Lepisosteus oculatus: one gene and its partner. The protein of the gene in region 2 interacts with the protein of the main gene of each other region in a pairwise test. Links are inferred from orthologs where the notes say so. Each region holds a gene or a part of one and is shown on either strand. Other genes may lie near its edges.

What was found.
Region 1: the proteins of E3 ubiquitin-protein ligase Midline-1 (region 2) and ubtd1b interact in binary tests that used the Homo sapiens proteins (3 or more experiments, as listed by UniProt). The two-hybrid records come from large-scale screens. The link is inferred for Lepisosteus oculatus from reciprocal best matches to the Homo sapiens genes MID1 and UBTD1.

Annotation. Positions count from the first base shown.
Region 1 is NC_090699.1:16,771,255-16,778,922, reverse strand, and holds the start of ubtd1b (ubiquitin domain-containing protein 1), read right to left. Parts: upstream 3,098-7,668; 5' UTR 2,456-3,097; coding exon 2,383-2,455; intron 1-2,382. Other genes in the region: MMS19 nucleotide excision repair protein homolog, read left to right, coding at 6,787-6,877. UniProt on the Homo sapiens protein: May be involved in the regulation of cellular senescence through a positive feedback loop with TP53. Is a TP53 downstream target gene that increases the stability of TP53 protein by promoting the ubiquitination and degradation of MDM2.
Region 2 is NC_090710.1:19,718,381-19,726,032, reverse strand, and holds the start of E3 ubiquitin-protein ligase Midline-1, read right to left. Parts: upstream 3,024-7,652; 5' UTR 2,883-3,023; intron 1-2,882. UniProt on the Homo sapiens protein: Has E3 ubiquitin ligase activity towards IGBP1, promoting its monoubiquitination, which results in deprotection of the catalytic subunit of protein phosphatase PP2A, and its subsequent degradation by polyubiquitination.

The DNA.
Region 1 (7,668 bases), on a different chromosome or scaffold from region 2:
CATCAGACCCTTTTAAAGTCAAGAGTCAAAAATAAACCGTAGCTGTAAGTCCTTGTTTGACCGGGACAGTACACCATAATCTTCGATTAATAGTACCAGGCAATTTAAAATCACATGTTGAGACATCTATTTACCTTGAGCTGTTTTCAGCTATGCTTTCTATAAATAATATACTCCTGTATTCTGCACTACATAGTGCATTATTCCCAAGCAGACATCGTTTACATAAAAACAAAACTGGGGGCAGTTTTAAAAAACATCAAAGTTCTCTCATAAAATATAGCAGGCTATGAGACTAAATGCCACGTCATTTGTAACCAAGATTAAAAGTCAGCCATTTTAAATTAAGTACAACAGGATATTAATGTTTACAGCAGAGCGCAATTCTTTAAAAAAATGCTTGTTTTATGTTGCAAATTAGTAACTAAACTGTATGCAGAAATCTTCCTGTCATTACAGGGTGCTTGTTTTGTAGATGTGTGCTCACAAAGCACAAGCTCTGAAAACACTTTTCTCAAGTCTGAACATAAAATAAGAATCTAAAGCATCCCATCGACGATTAATTATAAATGACCTCATAAAAGGAATATTTTTGAGCCACAATTTGTGAAACGATGTGCTAGAATAATAAAACCTAAGGCAAAGTCAATTGACGGATTAAATAACCTTGGAAGACTCAAGACAAGTACCAAATGCCAACTGGACTGCACTCTGCTCTACCAGGCTTTCTTCATTCTTCACACAGACCATGTAAATTACATTCATTGCAATTACAAATCAGAAATTCAGTCTGTGGAAGACCTGGCCTCAAAACTACTCAGACAGACAAAACTTTGAGTGTACATAACCAGATCCACAAAATCGTAAGAAGGAATATCAAGTCGCATCATCTGTGAAGTTGTGAAAAGTTCAAAATTCAAATGACTTTTTTTTTTGTATACCTCAGATCACCAAAAATAAGCAAAGTCACAACCCACCTCTCTGTTCTCTAGAACAGTTCATCACTGGAGCCAACGCCAGTGCATTTGATTGTGCGCATTGAGTTTATCCCGCGCCATTCTTCCTGTAGCACTATTTCCCCCCCCCCCATTACATTTTCAGGAAAACCTGAAGGGACTTCTACACTACAAACTCGCGGGGTCAGAACAGAGTTGTGGCTTCGCATCCAGCTGGAAACACTGCTGCTGTACCTTGAGAGAGGTACTTCACCCCACTTGCTCCGGTCCACCCAGCTGTATACGGTAAGTAAGGCTCAGCAGTGGAGGGGAGTGATCCCACAATGGACTGGGGTCCTATTGCTGTGGCCCTGGTGTGGCCTTCTCCTTTCACTCTACAAACACAAGATGCTAGACTGTAACCTGTCACAGGCTGCTAATCAATCACCAAGCACACAGGGTGAGATTCCTACAGCCTATTCTTGATCCACTGAGGATTTAGGTAATCCACAAGAACCACAACTCATATTATCCCAAGACTAGTTCTCACCCCTTAGTAACAGGGGAGTCCAGAAAGAGACCTCAAGCTCAGCGGTAAAAAGCACAGATTTTGCCAAGGAAAATCACATTTTTAAAAAAATGTACCCTGGGATTGAGGGCCGGATTACGGCATTATTATAATTCTAAAGAAAAATTGATAAATATGCAGATTTTAATCAATCCTAATTAGCTATAAAGAACCACATCGACTAGATGGGCAAGTGGCTTGCTGTGTGCAAGGGTACAGTGTTTCCTTTGTGCTGTTCTCTGGCTGTAGCACAGTGGTGCTCTGAATGGGGAAGGAGCGTCAGAGGATCTGTGACCCGGCCGGGGCAAAGCATCAGGAAGTCGCACAGAGGGCCTGGAGGAACCACTGGTCACACACGGATCCCCTGACATCCCTGTCTCGACAGGAAAGGGATATTCTGCTTTTTGCATCGAGTGTCACACTTAGAAAACATCCAAGGCTCTGCACCCGCACCGTTGCAGTTCTCGTCTGTAAAAAGTGCTCACAAGAAACACGGCAATCCTTCAGGCTCAAAGCTGCGGATGTGTCGTGACTAACCGTGTGTTAGACTGGACCCGGATTAGAGGCGATGTAAGAACACCTCACATCCACACCAGCTAAGGGACCGGGCGTGCTTGCAAGGCATTTTTCCCCATCATTATGACTGACAAACACTTCGCTGCGTAGGTCGTGGCCTCCGAAGAGTCGACTCAAACTCCCCACTCGACGAATTTCTCTTGCGAGCAGCCTCTTTTCTAAAGCCTCGTCCCTCCGCTACACTACACTAGACGCTGGCCTCTTTTCGGCGTGGACTGCAGCCGCTCAACTTCCAACACTAAACAAAACATTCTCTCGCAGGAAGCGAAACTGATCACACGTCCCGGGCGGGGGGTGTCTTACCTCCACGCTTCCTCGCCCCGCTCCGGCCTGACCCCTGCGAGCTCCCCCGCTCTCTTCCCACGCAGCCTCCCATGACTGGTCAGTTACTCCGGACCCCCCATAAAGAGCTCCACGCCGTGGGGGAAGAAGCGTTCACGCCGACCCCTCCGGGAAGGGACGCGGCCCCTGGGTTCCCCGTGCGCGTCCGCGGGAGCACCGCGCCGCTCGAGACTCAGGCGCCGTTGTTGTCGTTTGAGCTCACGAGCATTCCGAGGCGCGAGCCGTAGCGGGGGGGCTCGGCAGGGACCCCCCCGGAGCAGGACCGGCCAAACCTTCAGCCCTCGCGAGGTCACCGGCCCCGCCGCTGCAGGAAAGAAGCACTTCGGGGGTTATTTTTAAGGAGAGGGAACGCGGCTCCCCCTCTCCCGTCTCCAGTTATTTCTGGCTCAAGAGTCCGGCGGTAACTTCACTGGCACTTCTGCGGTCCCGGCTCAGCCTGCTAAGCAAACTCGTCTCTGCTCTTGTGGCACAAAAACAACTCCACAGATATGTTGTTGTTGTTTTCTTTTTTTAAAAAAAATTCTCTCTAGACAGTTTCCCTGCCCTCCCTAATCCCCAACCTCTCCCAGGTCGCCTCGGATTGCTCCAGGTTTAAATCCCTTTCTCCTTCCTGGTGGCAGACGGCGCTAGTGCGCCTGCGCGGCCCTGCGCGGAGCTCTGGGTAGAAACCGGCCGGTGTTGGATTTCGTCTCGTGACTGGCACCGCTGTGGTGTCAGGTAACAGGAAAGGGCTGCGGGTGTTTGTGTGCGAAATATAAATAAACAGTAGCTCGGCAAGTCCTTGTCATCTGGCGTAACAAAAATAAATCCCTGTAATCGGATCAAAAAGTGGGTGTCTGATTGTGTCGTTATTGATAAGTATCGATCACCTTTTTCTAGCAGATTACATCAAATCACATGCATGAGAACAGAAATCTCATTCTCAAACAATGTTAAAAAAATATCTTATTCCCGAAAAAAACACTGTTGCCCTAGGGGTTGTTTCTCATAGCTCTCTCAGTTAACCGGATAACACGATGACAAAAATCCGGATTTTCGGTTTCACGAAGCAAGATTGAACGGTCTAAAGTTAAATAACTATAGCAACATATCCTTCATTCTTAACCTGCTGTGAGGCAGGTTAAATCAGATTTAGCCTGACTTTGTGGTTAAGAGCTTGGCTCAGCTCAGCCCCCTATGAGAAACGACATCACTTTTCTTCAGAGATCCAGTACACAGAGCTTTGCATCAAGATTAGAGATCGCAAAATCCCTTTACTGCCCGCTGATAATTTTTATCTGAAAGATACAGTTTGAATAGATAGGATATACTTTACAATCAATATCTCTTAACCACATACATTGTTAATACTGCTGGACGTAGCTGAGCGTTACAAGAAACAAACTCTCGTAGTTGAGATTATTGTGACTGGTGCATTTTTTTTTACTGTGTGGGTGATTCGGAACTCTTCAGTAAAGCGATGTGTCGTGCACCAAGGAGGCTGTCCAGGCTGATTTTTTAAAATCAGAAAATCAATTCATAGCATCAATGTACAGTTAAAAAATAAAATTCTAGCCTAAAAATATGAATATTACAAAAAACAATAAATATTATCGATCGTGTCCGATAAAAGAGGTTAAACGTGTGTGCACACAATGGGTGTTGCTATACTTAGGTGTATATTATGCACAATTTCCATCATCACATCGTTTCCTATGTTATCAGAATCCATGATGTATGGTGTCACACTGGCAACATGTACATGATTCTGTCTGAGGGTATCCTCAGCGTGCAGCACAGTATTACCACCCTTAGGAAGAGAGAGTTCTTCCCCTCCACCAGTGCTCTCTGATGACTGTCCTCCTATTCATCGCTCAACAGGGTGACAGCTCTGAAAGGCACATCATAGCCGAACATAACTCTAGTGAAACAGTGAATGCTCGGTCTGATTTTTAACATATACCTTTTTTTTCTAATTTCACTGTGGTTATTTTATTTTTCGGTTATAATTAGGTCACATTTTTACCTGGCGTAAGGCTTTCTGCAATCTGGAGGGGAATGCCTCACCTATACTACTCGATCCACACTAAAAAATGTTGGAAATGTTGAATGAAGGAACACATTCTTTATGGTGTTGACGCCGATTCCTCTTCTTCAAGTGTTACTCTGCTCAAGCGTCTTCTTGTCGGATAAAATTGGAAGACGTTGTAAGAGCATTCCGCCACACCGTAGTGTACAGGACCCCAGTGCCACTGTGGATGATGTTCCTGGGTTTTGTCTTGGCCTGCTGCCAGGTCCTCCCTTTGTGCTCCAGCATTGTGCTGTGTAAATGCACAAATTAGTTCTGCACAAGAACAAAATTGTGCGATTACACCATGGCTTAAAGTGGATCTCCACTTCAGCACCATAATAATGAAAGTTAAGTAATGCCAATGCATGCATACTCACACAATTTTTATAGTTTGTTTTATCTCTTGAGCTAGTTGATTGGATTTCATAATTAACTTCCAGATTCAGTTTTGCAAGGCGACTTCTCTGGCTTTTGCAGCAGCTACAGTGTATTTCCTTGCTTTTGCAACAGATTTTATCCTCCTAGTTTTCCATAAAGAGGCATAATTCCTGGTCACTGGATTAAGATGCGCATTCTTTCGCCGTAGTTTTTGCTGGTATAAATGAAGGATTTGACGCTCATCCCTCCTGTATTGCACCTCTTAGTAATTTTCCTCCTGGAATGATGTTTCCTCAAACAATTTGGAACGTCTCTGGAAGTAGAGACAGCAGAGGCCTGGCAAGGGGCTTAAATTGAAGTTAACTGGAAAAATGAAGTCAGAGTTTACCTCGGTGAACCTTGAGTAATGCTGAAGTCGGTTATCGGGTTAATTCATCAAGGACAACTTGAGAGAACCCTGAATAAGTTCCAGCTGGGTCAAGTATCCCCCCTGGGTGGGTCAGTATGGTCCCAGTGAGCGTGTCTGTCCAGTATCAAACCGAACCCCCTAGTTAAGGCACAGGTCCCATGTGCTGTGCGTTGTTCTGTACTGACTGAGACTCTGTCCTCTGGAAGTTGAGCTGGTTAAGATTGATTACGTGATACAAATAGTAACACAATCGGAAGCTGCATTGATTTTCATTCTGCATTAACCTATTTGATCATTGCCTATCACTGGGTCTGTACGGGTAGATTACCACTAAGCAGCTGCTGTTCCTTATTGGCAGTAATTGATGTATTTTGCCAGGAGATAAGATCTGCTTCATACTTTCCCCTTTATTGCTGACAACATTCCTGGAACGATTTCAGGACAGTTCCTGATTTCTTTATTAACTGGGAAAATACTGTGGTCCGTATTTTCTCTGAAACTTCACCTATGATAGGAGAAATAAAAACAAAGAGTGCTTTAACTAAAGAGTATGCAGAGTGTGATAAATATAAAAAAAAACTCTTGGGTTCATTATTTCACATCAGGGCATAAACCCTGTAAGAAGTCTAATACTATAGTGACTGGTATTATTGCAGTAATTGCTCGTGATGTATCAGAACATGAGATTTCTTGCCATTTTGTTAAGGGAATCTTGACTGTAAATACTGACAAGATTCCAGATTACAGAACACAGAAGAAATATTGTTATATTGTATTTTATAGACACAGATACCAATTCCTAGTATTCCCTACCTATCCTTTCACCTGTACCCTTTTTCCTCTTTTACATCTCTGGTTTCCTTTTTTCTTCTCCTTCCTCACTGTTTTTATATTATTGTTGGATTTTTACAGTTTGGTTAAGTCTGTCATGCCGTAATGATTGTTCACATTTGTTCATTATTGTTTATGGTACCATGTAATATTTTTTGTTCTTCCCGAAAAACCAATAAACAAATTGAACATAGAAATCCCAGACCTACAAAACTCAGAAGATCTTCCAATCGTACTGTAAGTAGACCCAAGGGATTCTGCAGCCAGTACGTGAGCTCTAACCACAGTTTGAGGAGCGTAGACTACTTCAAATATATGTTGCTTTAAATTGTGTAAATATTTGCTTTGGTAATAATTTAATTAATTGGTCATGCCAATACAGAATTTGAATTCGTCAGTAAGTTGGGTCACACAGCATCCGCGATGCTTGTTTCTCTGGAATTGTGACATGAGGCTTCCTCAAACATTTCCTGATCATATCTGCTCAACATCTGAAGCAAACTTTCAGAGCTGCTACATTCTAATTGCTTCAAAAGCAGGAGTGCCCACTTCGCTGAGGACAGGGCAAAACTGCTCAAGAGCAACCCTGCACAGTGCCTTGGTCTTTGTCACGTGACAGTGGTGTTTCTACCCTGCCTTTCCTCGGCGACAGCTGCAGCGCATGCGCGCGAAGAGGAGTTTGACTTGTGGGTTGTGCATGATGGCCGCGAATGGAGCTGTGTTGCTGGGTTTGGTAGAGGAATTCGTATCGGGCCAGCAGGACAGCAAGGCTGCTGAGACTGCAACAGGTAACTGATGTAATCGATCTCGGTCTCGGCTCTTAGTGAGCTGTACGTTGAGCCTGCAGGCTGCAGCGACTATGGATGGGAGAGTCCGATGCCCAGAAAAGCGTGTGGCTGATATTCTGGGTATCTTTTTAAAGGAAACGTGATGTGTATGAACCTTGGTATAAGTGCACATCGAAGAGAAAGATCAGCCCTAATTGACATGGTCCTGTATTTATTGCACAACATGAAAGTCTCCAATACGCAGGCAGTACACAGTAGAAGACAGTTTGAGTAAAAACACACCCTACCGACACAAGCATGGACCGTTCTAGAATTTGCTTGCCATGGGAAAACATTTTCTCACGTTTTTACTGGGACTGACTTTAAAACAGCGGTGCATCGCCCGGCTCTTGGGAGACTTCAGACGTCCTCTCTTTCCGGTTGTGTCGAGACAAGCGGCTCATCACGAGCAACCTGTTGGCACATGTAGCGGGTGCAGGAGCCCATCCTGGCGTAGAACTGGCGCTCTGAAGGTGTATGTAATTAATTTAAACTAAGGATACTAAGAGTAGGTATCCGCAGTGGCTCAGTAAAGGAGCCCTTATTCGGGAACTTAATTCGAACAGCCTATAGGACGGTTCCTGTTAGATGTATTCAGACCCGTTGAAATCCAAGTGTCTTCCACAGACATGCCCCTGTGAAGAACTGCCCGCCCAGGTGCCTTGGATCAGGGACAGCGGTCGAGTACTGTGCGCTCCTCGATATTGTCAAGCTGCATAGCTCTCTCCACTCCTGGCTCAGAAATTCGTCTC
Region 2 (7,652 bases):
ACAATGCGATTAACTGTTCAATCCATGCTATTGTCTTGCAGGTTAAATCAACTCGCAGTTGACCATATCCCTTTTATAAAATATTTTTTAAAGGATTACACATGAAAGTGCATTCCTAAAGTTTTGCCTTTTGTTTTTCTTAATGATCGCCAGATTCGGAACACCAGCTAAAGACGTAAGGACACGATGCATTCAGAGATGTTTTTAAAGTACCACATGCACTGTAATAGAATTATCTCATTCACATACCATATATGTAATATCACATTGTAATATCCCATTACAAGATACAGATACTTAGACACCTGGAAAATTAATAAGGTTTGCACAGTAAAATTAAAACAATACAAAATTATGTGCTCTAGGGCAAAGATAACCATGTACAGTACTATAACCTTTGACACTTTCAAGTATAAAATGGAATATAATCAATCATGTACAGTTAAAATTTATTTTGTAAAATAATATTATCTTCCAGTTCCTGGTAACCAGGAGCACAGAGGATGCATACTGTAATTGCTCTCTTTGCAGGTAGTGCAATGTCAAACACTTTTCTACTTGAAAAGTGCTGTTCCCAGGTGTATAAGTCTTTCTCAAGTTATCCTGATAAAGACAGTTAACCAACTGGCACCCAATCAACAGAGAATTAATTAAACAAACCCAGAGCTACAAGAAATAGAAAGTGTCACAATGTTTATACAAAGCAGACAATCCCAGAATACTGTAATTGCAGTCATTTGTCATAAATTGGGAAAAGCTGTGGCACCATTTTTGACGTACCACCGTGAAGATATGGGATTATGCAATGCGAAATATTAATTTAAAACTCATGTTTATGTCGGAACTTGGAAACAAATGAAAGCTATATACTGTACAGTATGGTATTCACAATAATGGGAGAAAATTACATTATCAATAAGCAACACTAATAACCTGTAAAAACACTTTTATGTGAAAATAAAGCAATATCTAACTAATCCAGCAAGATTATACTCAGTTACTAACAAATAGTTACACGGTAAAGTTATTGAAATACTTTACTGACTTTACCATCAACAACAAGTAAAGAAATGCAATGTCTCATTTATTTTTTTGTATCATTCTGGTAATTTATGAGTAAATTCTACCTTATATTTTCTCTTTCTTTCATCTTTCTAATCTCTCAATATCCAGTAAAACAATCCGAAGAGAAAATGCTATTTTATATCATAATTGTGATCAACACTAAGTTTAATTATTTTTTCAGAAAGTTGTTCTGAATCCTTACCCCACTCAGGTTTTGGACCCAGGAAATGAGTAGATTCTGCTTATAAGGTTCACTTAGTAAGAGTGATTAGTCATTTTAATGTAAAACCAATGTAAGGATCTGTACAGCTTCTTAAAACTTGTCCCACATTCCAACTAAATGAAACATACAACAAAACCTATTCATGCTACCACAAAGTTTACCTCAATTTTAACACAATTTAAATTTATCTTAAACTCAGTTGTCACGCCAAAAATACACATCTAAAGTGAAAAAATAAATGTCCTTTCTTTTAAAAACAATAAATTCATTTGGAAAAATCATGATCACAGCAGTAGTAAAGGATGAAAAGCTTCTTTTTGTAAAGAGTACTTCATGCTAGTTTTTCAGTACAAAATAAAATTAATGTAATCTATTTAGATACTTTAATGTGTGCTATTTAGATACAGTTCAGAGACAGCGGCCTTAAACAGAAAAATCGAGCACAGATCTGATGGGAGAACTTTGTAAATCTAGGTCATACAACAACTTATTTAAAAATATTAATACATATGGTATAAGCAACTTAAAAAGAAAAAAAATGGAATAACAATTTACTTTTCTATTTTTATTGACCTCAAAACCAGAAATTTAACTCAATATTGTAATAAAGTAAAAGTGCCAAATTCTTCAGATACAGTATATGCAGCCTACCATATACATTTAGATGAAACTTTCTGTCACCTTTTATACATGACACAGCACAAAATAATTTTAAAAAGTCATATAACGCTTCTCATTTACTGTATAGCTCATCCTTACCCACTGGCACAGGTCAAGAAAGACATCCAGGACTCTCTCAGGTAAGAAAGTACTGGAGGACATTTAAAAGAAATGACCCTGAAGCATGGATTATTTTGATCAGACATTTTACATTTTGCCAGATAACCAAATCTTACACCACATACAGGATCTATCCTTTAAAACATTTCTGACACGTATTGAAAAGGCATTAATATGTATTCCATGGATAGACCTTGCAAAAGAAAGCAGCTTTGAACACTTTCATTCAGAAATAGTTTGTTTTTTCTGGAATGTGCAGCGGCTGATACAGATGTACAGTATGCATTTGCATTGTTTACTCCGTTCTTCACAATCATGATTTCTTAGCATTGCATATCTGGCAACTCAAAGGAAAAAATAAGATAAATTAAATCCTATTTAGGACTAAGTTAAATCCCAACATGCGAGTGTTGGACTTTCAATTTCAGAAATGTCTCTTCCTTTGAACTGTTTAGGCATTTGCAGCACATGGCAGTCCTAAATGCTTTTAATTTATTTCATTTCAGTTTGCATCTGGGTTTCATCACAGATAAGAAAGCACTGTGAAGTGCGGAGAGCTCTTTGCCAGACAAATCTTTAGAAGAAAGTCAACTGCTGTTAAGTGATATTCCTATAAAGTGAATGAATGAAAGAGAACGGAGAAAGGAAAAAAAAAAACACTTTGTAAGTCCAGTTTGGCAGGAGCAGAAAAACTTCTTGGCTAAATTAAACAGAAGTGGAGCAGAGGTTTATAGGTGAAAACCAAATTACTTCACATCTCGCCTTGAGTATTACGTCGCGCCCTTAAATGCCTCTCAAGCACTGAATCTCCTACCTGCTTCCCCATTGTCCCGATTTGTGATGTCCTCCTTCCTAGGGAAAATGTCAGTGTTTTTTCTGCAGAGTGGACTTTTAGGACAGAGCTGGAGATGTCTGTGTCCCACTTGTAGTAAAAACTTTAACTGTTAATCCTGTGAGTCAGGAAACTGGGCTCTGTCCAGCCTCTAGCTCACTCCCACTCATCAGGGTGTGTGTATGCACATGCCTCCCTGTATGGAACAGAGAAGCCTCTCTCCTCAGCCCAACAGGTTTCCTTATATAGGTAAACATGTCTTAAATTCCCTCTCAGGGAGACTGCCTTGGAACGAAAGCTTAACCCCCCAAGTGCCAAAAAAACAGCACCTTAATGGAAAAGTATTCAGTAGAGGTTGCCTGCAGTACAGAGGCAATAAAAAGGGAGTGGTTACGAAGTCAGCTGGTCTGTTTAGACCATGACATTTGGAGCACGTCAATGGTACCATGAGGACTCATTCCCATGGACAACAGTATTGGACACTGAACAGTTTCATGCAACCCTTTAGCTCAGGTTAGGTCCCTTTTTGATAGAATTGGATTTAGACCAAATATTTTTTTAAAAGGGGAAATGTTCTTCATTTAAAGGCATTTTGAATGATTTTGTTTTTCCACATTATGGAAAAATGCAGTTTTACCATAGTGACAGCACTACCTCCAGGTATTGTGAATGTAATTTTAGGACATCGCAACTGGTGGCTTTTGAATGGACACGTACAAAACCAACCCTAAAATGAATACTACTTTTCTTACTTTGTAAAGTGGCATTCTGGAGTTCCATCATGGATATTATTATTACAACTTTTAAAAGTTAAAAATCTAGATTTTAACTAGATATTGAATTGTCATTCATTGTAAAGTTTTTAAAATGCACACTGCTGGGCAAATGTCTTAAACCAGGAATCTCAAACTCAATTGCTGGAGGGTCTCACGTGTGCTGGTTTCTGGAACCCATGTTCTCATTTACTGTACATAATCGGTCTAATTATTCACATTAATTAATTAGGTAACATTAATGAATTTAAGGTCTTGTAATCCACTGTAAAAGACCTTAAGGAAGCTTCTACTGTATGTATATCTAATTTAGAAAATAATTAGACTAAATGTTTAATTGACTATTCAGGTTGGAACACAAACCAGAAGGCCTTACCCCTCCAGGAGTTGAGTCTGAGGTCCCCGTCTTTAATACTTTGCATTGCTTTACTCCTCTAACTCAATGTTTTTCATTTTTATGGAAACTTAAAGTTGATCTTTAACTAAAATGGCAGCCACTTTGTTTAATTAACCATTATTAACTGTCCATATTTTGTAGCACAACATTTAAGCATTTAACTTTAAATTTAAATGTGCAGAGAAGAACAAGTAATTTTAATGACAAGCTCCACCTGATAAATGAGTCAAATAGATTGGATTGGTAAATGTGATGGAATAGCTACTAAAATGTTTTATATTGGTCACACATGTATACTTACCTAGATTTATCATGTCGTTAAAGATTCTGATTCTGTGAATTAAAGATAATAAAATACAGGTTGTTATAATAGTAGAATAGTAAAGACTTTGAATTAACTGGTCATAACATGCATTTATTGTAACTCCTGATTGAGTCCAAGATGTCCAAGAATATTGCACAGCACCACATGTACACTGAAGGTATTAATTGAAGTTCTTAGTAAGAAACTCTGAGATATACAGTATTTAATCTCAAATTTACATGCAAAGTTGTTGGATCCTTGAAATCTTCAGAACACAGACTCATTTTTTCCAGAAAACTGCTGACATTTTTAGATTTATATACAGATGTGTATAGTATGATGCATATAGAAATGCAGACCATATGTGTACTATATGTGCATACTGTATAAATTCGGGGCTTGTTTTTTTCCATATTTTAATGGCCTCTGATCTTGCTTGGTATTCCACAATCTACTGCTCATGTTTAAAAATGTATACAATTCACCGTGGGCTTGGAAGCACGAATTTTAAGAGCAGTAAAAATGTTTTTATAATAATAAACAGCTCTCTATAAAAAAAAACAACTGTATGTATTTTCTTAAGTATTTTCTTAAATATGTAAATTTAAATCACCTGTTAGTGTTTGACATATACTGTAAAGTACAGTCATTATCATAGTCCCAGTTGTATTAGCACCATGTTGTACTGTTCTATAGCACACAGTTTTCATGACTCAGTGGACTGAACACAGCAACTGTCTTTTTAAGCTTCTTTTAAAATGAATATGCAAGGTCACAAATTAGCTTTAAAAAGTTTATTTGTTTAAACATCTGTCCCTTCACAATATATAAGAGGATGCTGCAAGACAAATTGGGTGTGTTGAATACAGTAGGTCACAAACTGGCTTTATTTACAGAAATAATAATAAAATGCTAGAAAATGATAACCTGATAACAAGAAACAGAGAAATTTATATTGTATTTCAAATGTAGCTTTAAGTCAATTATCTTCATAAAAAGCAAAGTATTCAGATAAACCATTAATAATTGTTATGATGTGTATGGAAAATGAGGAGTAGAGAAAAGAGACTTTTCTTTCTGATTCAAACAGTTCAAAACTCCTGGTCTGAAAGCATGTGATAAACTCACTGTTATTAAAGAGCCTCAGAAGCCCATATCTCTAAACTAAGTATGTGTGCATACTCCATTTGAAACCCCATTTAAAACACTCCACTGTAAGTCACCGGTGTTTCATTACATTTGGTAAAGTCCAGATGTCATGTAACAATCTGCTGAAGTTTTATGTTACTTCTCTTGTGAAGCTGGTAAAATAAGACTAATAACTTTTCAGTGCCCTGGACTTTTCTGGGGGAATAACAGCATATTCTTTTATTACTGCTTAGACTACTGTACAATGAAATGACTGAGCTATGTACTTTGTTGTTAGCAACAATGTGAGGATTAATTTCTTCCCAAGATGAGGAAAAGACAGAGGGTACGGAGGAGGGGATGTCAAGCACTTCATAATCTGCAAACATTTATATAATTTATACTATTTTTATTCAATACATATGTTGGATTTAAGAGAGCATTTACCAATTCAAGTTAAAGTATATTATGTTAAATGGGTTTACATTTAATGCTGAGGACTGCTTTGAAGACCAAGTTATAGGTGTCATATCCCCTCTGAGCTGAGTGCTGAATCACAAGCGCTCGAACCACCATGGCCAGCGGTTGGGACTCAAATTAATCTGCTAATCTGTCTGTTTCCTTGACAACATGATTGGGCAGATCAGCACATTTTTTTTTCCAAAGGATATACAGTACAATTTCTATGTACATACATTGACTGTACTTCCCTGCTCAGCTTTACCACTTTGTCCTTAAATCACCCAATTTTCACACTGGTGCAATTTGACTTCTCTGGTTTGGCTCTGCAGTGGTTTCTTTAACCATTTCCCTGGATCTCTTTTGTATTTGCTGTGTCTTTCCATGCTCGACCCCGACTGCTTTGACCCTGTGAATTCTTCCCTGTGCTCTGACTTCTCACTTGTCTGACTATGGCTTTTGTATTTCCCTTCTGTTTACATCGGTTTCTCCTTCTTGAACTATGCTCTCTGGCTCTGTACTCCTCTGCCTGTCTGCTCACAACAGCCTGTTTGACTGCCTGCCTGTACCCAGCTGCTTGCTCGTCTGTCTGCCTGCATTAGGATTCATCACCAGCTTAGACCACTAAACCCTTCCAGGTCACTACAGCGGTTATGACAGTAAGACTAAACCATTAATATGGACCCTTTGGGGAAAGATGAAATTCACCAGGTTCTACCCAATCATGAGCCTGCCCTAAGTTCACAGGCCAGTGTGACAGAATTAAGAGAGGCTGTCAGAAATTTGCGTGCCGCCATGAACAATATGCTGCAAGTCTTTCCTTGCTCCGCATGGCCAACACTGTCTTCGTTCTGCTTTTCACAGACCTTCCATCTCAATTCATTTTTTATGCCTGTGGGAGATCTGCGCTCCACCGGCTTAACTTCACTTAATGTGATGTCAATGTGTTTTTTCAAATGGAAATCCGTTTGAAAAAATGGATCAGCCCAATCCTCCAACTGGCTACTGCAATTGAAACAGGGGAAGTACTCCATGGCTCATTTTGCCATTCACTTCCACACCTTGGCCATTGAAAGTGAAAAGGGAGAGAAGGACCTTACTGCCCTATTTCACGATGGATTGTCTGAACAATATAAGAGTGAATTTGCCTGCACGGACTTACCACAGGGTCTGGAGTCGTGAATCAACCTTGCTTCAAGAATGGATACTTGCCTTCGAAAGAGATAAAAAGATAAAGTATCCTCACATTCTGGCAGAGCAAGCTAGGGTCGTCCGCTTCCAGAACACAACCCAAAGAATCTCCTGTTAAGAAAGCTCCTTCACCCACACATGAGGAAGAGCCAATGTAGATTGGTAGAGCCAGGCTTTATCCAACTGAATATCATGGCCAGGTGTAAGGGCCATTTTGGAACTGTGGATGCAGGGCCGCCTCCATGATTGCTGTTCGTTAGGAATTGGGAGTACTTACCGAGCTGGGTCACTTCATCTCCTTATTCACCTCAGCACCTTGTCCTGCCTGCTTTGCTCTCCTCGGGCACTCTTCAAGCCCAGGTCAATTTGTTTGTAAACTCTGGATCTGAAGGAAATGATTGATATTAATTTAGCTAAATCAATTCCAGAGTCCTCATCCAAAAAAAAAAAGTCCTCTGTACCTCATTGTCAGAGCTACTCACTGTGAGACCATCTCTCTT